Linked DNA regions of Ovis aries. The protein of the gene in region 2 purifies or fractionates together with the protein of the main gene of each other region. This does not show direct contact. Links are inferred from orthologs where the notes say so. Each region holds a gene or a part of one and is shown on either strand. Other genes may lie near its edges.

The links.
Region 1: the proteins of RMDN3 (region 2) and VAPB purify together in Homo sapiens (affinity purification with mass spectrometry; 4 studies listed by BioGRID and IntAct, counting the BioPlex papers as one, with this or other methods). This does not show direct contact. The link is inferred for Ovis aries from reciprocal best matches to the Homo sapiens genes RMDN3 and VAPB.

Annotation. Positions count from the first base shown.
Region 1 is NC_056066.1:57,609,107-57,612,925, reverse strand, and holds part of VAPB (vesicle-associated membrane protein-associated protein B/C), read left to right. Parts: coding exon 1-74; intron 75-1,856; coding exon 1,857-2,033; intron 2,034-3,819. UniProt on the Homo sapiens protein: Endoplasmic reticulum (ER)-anchored protein that mediates the formation of contact sites between the ER and endosomes via interaction with FFAT motif-containing proteins such as STARD3 or WDR44.
Region 2 is NC_056060.1:34,496,569-34,499,621, forward strand, and holds the end of RMDN3 (regulator of microtubule dynamics protein 3), read right to left. Parts: exon of another isoform or gene 2,740-3,053; coding exon 2,664-2,739; exon of another isoform or gene 2,501-2,663; coding exon 2,423-2,500; exon of another isoform or gene 2,194-2,422; coding exon 2,095-2,193; exon of another isoform or gene 1,821-2,094; coding exon 1,554-1,820; exon of another isoform or gene 1,253-1,553; coding exon 1,199-1,252; 3' UTR 544-1,198; downstream 1-543.

The DNA.
Region 1 (3,819 bases), on a different chromosome or scaffold from region 2:
AGGCAAAACCGGAAGACCTTATGGATTCAAAACTTAGATGTGTGTTTGAATTGCCAGCAGAAAATGATAAACCAGTAAGTATGTTTATAGTTAACAATAATTGAATGTTGCAAGCTGATACTTATTTGCATACCATCTCCTGCAAAACCAAGATTTAAGTTGGCAAATTATTTTCCTTCTTCTGATGTATGAAGAGAAAAATTCGCTGAAGTCAACAAATAAGTGGGCCTTTGTGAAATCTGCCTTTGAAAGATTCACAGAAAGAACTCATTGAAATTTTTTTTGCCTTTGAAAAGCACAACCTGTTGACTGTTGAAATGTCATAAATTCCGAAGAGCTTCTTTGACTTGGGCAAAGTTCTAGGTTGCTATTATATTTAACAGTGGGAAAGACGGTGAGCGCTCAGCTCCTCTTGTACAGTGCTGTCTGCAGGCTTCCCTGTCTGCATTTCTCCTGAGCACCAACTCTCCACCTCTTGAACCCCAGATTCTCTTCAGTCAAAATGTGCTTTTAGATGAGGATTTCTCACCCTTAGCCCTGCTGACTTTCGGGCCAGGAGTCCTTCGCTATGGTGCTGTCCTGTGCCTTGCAGGGTGTGTTGTGGCATCCTTGACCTCACCCCAGTAGCATCCCTGGTCGTGATGACCTGAAGCGTCTCTGGATGTTGCCAGGTATGCCCTTCCCGAGGCAGAGTCAGTTCCCGTTGAGAATCACCCTTTTTGCTGCCTGAGCACTGAGGGTAAGGAGTGACTCCCTCCCAGCTGCTGGCTCACTTTTCTCTGTGTGAAACCAAAGCATGAGCCCGGTTGGCATGAACCTCCCTTCACCCTAGTCAAAAAACTTAAACTGTGTTAACACAGTTTAAAACCCATGCAGAGTATTAAACCACCCTGGCTGTTAATAGCTGGTGGTGGGAATAGAAATGTTCAAACTCTCAACGTTATCCATAACAATCTCCAGGAATGCTGATGCTTTGTGTCAAAACTACTTAGCATTTTTTTTCTGCTCACTAATGGACCACCGTCACTATCCCATTTCTTCGAATGATTGGTGGTCTTCGTTCCTTTTTTCCCTTCCCTCTTCCCACAGCATGTTCTGTCAGTTGTGGATAGTTGAGGACTGTATTCTGGCCCCAGCTGTGCTCTTGGAGGTTAGCTCTGTGTGTTGAGGTCTTGCTTGCCAGGGCCTCACTCCTCTCCCCTGGGAGACTAAGGGTAGAGCTCGCTGTTCTCCGTTTGCTGCATGGACCCCCAAGGGCTTCCATGCTTCCCCGGCCCCCACATACTCACTCATCCCCAGTAGGTCTTCAGAGGGGATCACAGCGCAGTCGTGGCTGGGGAAGTGAGGAACACATTGCCTCCCCAGGATGAAATACCATAGACACTGAATTTGTTGCACCTTCATCCCATCGCTGCAGTTGTCTTAAGTTCAGGAGACAAATCACCCTCTGGGTTACGTCCCCTCTGGCCTTCTGCCCCCGCCCAGCCAGTTTGGGGGATGTTCGCGTCTTCATAGTGACTTGTGGCTGATGATTCCTGAGCTTGTGCAGCTATGCTCTGCTGATTTTTCATGGCAGGAATTTGATAGTGCAGTGCGCACAGCCCCTTTTCTCTTTCTTTGAAGTATTAGTCTCAGCCGGACTTCATTATTTGCCCTCATCCATAATTTCTGGAGCCCAGTTTTAGATTATGAAGATACTAGGTGATAAAGTGATCTGTTTTAAAAAAATGTGACATTGTACAGTTTGGATGAAACGCTACCCTGGGTGGTGTCTGCTGAGACCTACTTTACTTTGCATGAAGAAGTCCTTTAATACGTGGTTGGTGACACTTGGGCTTTCATTTATTTCTGAACAGCATGATGTAGAAATAAATAAAATTATACCCACAACTACATCAAAGACAGAAACACCAACGGTGTCTAAAGCTCTGAGTTCCTCCTTGGATGACACTGAAGTTAAGAAGGTGATGGAAGAGTGTAAGAGGCTGCAGAGCGAAGTCCAGAGGCTGCGGGAGGAGAACAAGCAGTTCAAGGTAATGGCATTTTGTTTCCTGATCGTCTTCAGGGAATTGGGGCTTTGCTACTATGGTCTTGGGTGAGGAGGTTGATGCAATTTGTGGAGTTGTCTTGTATTTGCACGTTTTTCCTCCAGGCTGAAGTTTCCTAAGGTTCTCAAAACAATCCCTGGACACATGCCTACGTGCATCCCAAAGTAAGAACCAGTGTCCCTTGAGCAGTATTTTTTCAACTATTTAAACTCCTGTCTCCTCATAAAATGACAACAGACAAATAAAAAATCCATTAGTGTAAATTGAAATTAAAAAAACAACAATGGTTATCTTGAGTTCACATTTTCAAGCCCCTTTTCCATCCCCATTGGATGAGAATCTTTTTGAAGAGAGTAAAGACTGACGTGTATTCTGTTTTAAGGCAATCATCATTCTGATTTTTGAATATCCTAAATAGGTCTAGCAGTGGGGTCTCATCCTCTATCAGTATGGTCCGGAGACTGGAGCTGGGATGCTGTCACATCCATGGGGGAGATTACAGGGAACCAGGGGCTCCAGCTTGTGGCCCTGGACCTGGCGAGTGGCCTGGCGCTGGGGGGTGAGGTCGCACTGGTGCTGGAGCGAGGCAGGTGTGCTCCTCTTGGCTTTGGAGGCCTGCGGTAGTGTGGAAATGACCAGCCAAACTTGGACTCACTGTGTAACTTTGTCCATCACAGCGGCTTCTGGCCTCTGTTTGCAAGACCCTGTTAAGGCCCTTCCAGTGTTGAAAGTATGCCTTTCATACACAGGGTTAAAGAGAGTGTTTCTGAACATCTGATTGTAGGATCTTTTGTTGCAGCTTAAGTCTTGAGGCTGATCTGTTCTTTTCATCTTGATCATGTCCCCAGCCACCATAGACTGTCACTCCCTGACTGCGTAGCACCAGGTACACACCATAAATTCACTGCAGGTGACTCTTCCTTCTGTTACTCTGATGAGGTAGGAGACATGGGGGGCCAACGGGGTTTAGAAAGTGGCATCCTTGTCTTTCTCTGCAGTAATCATGCTTTGCCTCATTCAGTGACTGCTGTTGGTATGGAGTAAATTATGAGGCTGACACTCTACTTTTGGCTAAAAGTCTAAGATACGCCTAAAGCTTCTTCTTGAATGTATTTCTCTTCTTTGCCATTTAAAGTGATAAATAGGTGGAAATAGCTTCTATATAAACCCAATAAAATAAATGCTGTACTTTGCTGTGCCCATTTTTTTTTTTTTTGAAGTTAATCGAATAGCACCAGTCATTTATCAGCATGCAGCAATATTGGCCATGCCCCTCAAGCAAAGTGTCTTTAAAATATTATCAGACCAGTCTTGACATTAGAAGATTCTTTATCTTGCCAAACAAGGATTTCTTGTTTTGTGTTGTTTCATACTTTCATTTGGCCACACATTTGCTAAGACCCTCCTGTGTGCCCAGCACTGTGGGATACAGACGTGGGTGGTCCCTGCCCTTAAAATAAGCCCCAGGGTAGCCGGGGAGACACAAATACTGAACCAGTCCCACAGAGGTGGCCATGAGTGTTGTGAGGGGTGGGCTTAAGGTGCTGGCTGCCTCTTGTCATCAGATCTGTCAGACACTTGATTAGTGTGAACGAACTGAAGGAGAAGAGAAGAAAGTGCAGCTGTTGTGGAGGGTGTCAGGGGTGGATTGAGGGTAATTAGAACAGGAAGGCCTTGATGCATGCCCTATTTGGGCTTGTGAAGAAAGGAAAAGTGTCGATTCTCACAGGTCTGTGTAGGTGGGGAAAATGTCCAAGTTATCTTCATGTGT
Region 2 (3,053 bases):
TTCTGCTTTTTAGGGCTTTGAGATACTCCTTCCCCTTCACTTCTCCTCAGCATGAGCTTTAAGCAACTCTTCCACTTTCAGAGGGCCTCTTGGCTAGAACTGGGTGGAGAGGCCGTGCAAATCTCGGCTGTTGCCTCTTTTGAGCCTACTATATGTAAGGAGATAGGAGGACAAAATTTAATGCAACTTTGTTTTAAAACAGTTGTTCCCTGACTATAGACCAGAGTGCCTCCTAAGTCTTCTTCCATTTTTTTCCATCACAAAACAAACCTGGAATGATGTAATAAACCCAGTGACAGACTCTGGAATGAAAGCTTGGTTCTTATATGAAAGCATCTCAATCTTTTAGACCTATAAAGTACTTTAAGTGACCTTGACCTAAAAACTTGTCTCAATTTTTAACCAAAGAGCTTATTCTAAACTATTTGGTACTATTTTTCTACTTGTCTGCAATAGCCTCACAGTAGGAAACAATTATTTAAGTCCCAAGAAAGAAAAAGGAGATGAAAACAAACATAGAAAGGGAATTATAATCACTTCTAGTTAAGTTTAAATTTTGGATTTATTTCAAGTTTGTACCAAAATATATTCCAGGCAACTCTTCAGATCATCATTTTCAGTCCTAAGCCTTATGCAGTGCTATTTCAAAAGCTGCCAGGACTCTGGAAGTCAGGTGGTCCAGCCCTCAGCCCAGGAGTACAGTTACGATCCACATGATAGACTGAGCAGAGGCAATACCCATGGACTCCCCGATCTTCCGCCCTGGTAGGTTGGGGTGTGTGATCTTAGGACTATACACTTTGGTTCTGAATATTAATCAGTGAAAAAGATTAGAGCGTACACATTCTGTTTTGTTCCTATAGCTCTTTGGAGTTCATCCACCTCAGCAGCAGTTGAAAAGCAGCCTTCAGTGTTTTATCCACACTCTACCCTAGGGCAGGTGTATACTAGTCTTGATTTTTTGAGAACTCACTTTATGGAAAAAGTAATAGAAACCCAGGTCTCAAGTACTTCCCCAATTTCAGATTAGGTAAGGGATTAGAATAAATTAACCAGTAGGAAGAAATTGGGGAATTGTAGCAAGCAGCAGTCAGACGCCCTTAAGCAGTCTTGCTCAGTTTCCTGATCTAAGCAGGACCTAAGGGGAAAAGACTTAATTTTTTTCCTTCCTCGAATCATGAAGCCCATTGAAATGTGATTATTCTGCTAAAATTACTTCCAATTCTTCCAGGTCCTTCTGGAAAGCTGAATCCTAGGAAGACAAGAGAATAAGACTAGGACTTTAAATCCAAGCCAACATTTCCTAAACCATGGGTACCTGGGAATGGGCCCTTTGCTTCCTTGCTATTACCAGTCTTTTTCCCACCTTCCCAGGACAACCTGGAACCTACGAACTGTCTCCTCCCCAGGTGAGATGTATATGAACAAGCCCACATGCAAAGTGCAGCTCTCTTTTGGAGGGAAATAGGAACCACGGGAATATATTCTTTCCTGAAAAGTCCCGTGATGACTCAGTGAAAGGACCCTGTGTTTGAAAAGCTCTTAAGTATTACCTCTTTAGTGACATTTGGCAGCTCCAGGGCCAGCTTCATCCACTGTTTAGCTTCAGGGTTTTTCCCTAGTTCTTTGTAGCACTGAGAAGAGACAACAGTGAAAACCTCGGAGAAATACCACCAGAAGACTAGAAGGGAATGAGTGTATGCTTTCAAGAAAAAATGGCAACATGCATATATTTCATCTATGTTGAAACTGGCAGATGAGTTTACCTTACAAATATATATCCTTCCTGCTTTGGAAAATCCTGGCTGTAGTTCTTCAGCCTAGAGAACAGAGAATGCATTTCAGTAAGAGGTTCCGAAATCCAAGTCAGGCTAAAGTTTATTAGAGTTCCAGTATCCAACCTGGAGATTGATTCAGTGAGTCTACATTTTTTTTTAATAAGCCCTTCCAGTGGTTTCTAATCTTCCACAGAATGGGCACACATAAAACTGCCCTCTACCAGAAACCCCTCCCAATATACTAATGTCCTTAGGGAAAACAAGGTCACCCTGGCCTTTCTGGCTGCTGTCCACCCTTCCCTTCCCTCCCTGATACCTTTAGGAAGCTTGAGAGGGCATCCTGCACAGTAGCACCAAGGGGGCTTTCACTCAAGGCTGTCGCGGTTTTTTTTTCTAGCCAGCTCAGGTGAGAGACCTGCCATCAAAAGATCAAGGTGTAACTAAAAACTTAAGTATCTTTAAGAACAATGAATATTCTTTACTGAGAGAAAAAGGAGCCAAATAGGACTGCATCTAATCACCACTACCATGACTGTTTGGAGGCAGTGACACAAGCCAGACCATGTTGAGGACCCTGATCTTCCCTGCAAGGTGATCAGTGTCTCAGGAGGGGCCCTTGTGTCAAGCCCTGAAATCTAGCTCACCTGGTAGCACCACCTGCCGAGGAGAAAGTGAGCCATGGGGTTTTCTGGCTTGAGAGCAATGGCTTTGTCCACATGTTCCTAGAGTGGAAATATAAACAAGTTAACATCAGAAAGCAGAGTTACTAAGGGAAGAAAGGCAAGTCACAGAGCTATAGGGTAGGAACACCTTTGCAAAGAGCTAGGCTGGAGCAGGTCACCTGCACTAGACCAGCACCAGGGAAGGAAGAGAAGCCTTTCTCACCTTGAAGCTAAAGCCACTCTGGATGCGCCTCTGGATGCCCTCATGCTCAGCCAGCTGACCACAAAGCACTGCATACCTAGGGGGGAAGCAGCGGCAGGCTCAGGCACAGGACTGAGGACCATCCCTGCCAGGAAGGGGCTTCCCACCCATGGCCGATGGCACTGCCCAATACTTCATCTGTACATAATTCCTCTTTTCACAGACCTATGGTCCCAATTCATATTCTTTAGCAGATACAGTGGTAGGTTCACAGTTCCCCAAAGTACACTGGGTACAAAAAAGATAGGCTCTTTTATACTTAAAATTTAGACAAGGTCTCAATCCAAATGTCCCCTCATGATCAGTATAGCCATAGCTGTCATAAAAACTTAAGCAGGCCTCTAAAAGTCA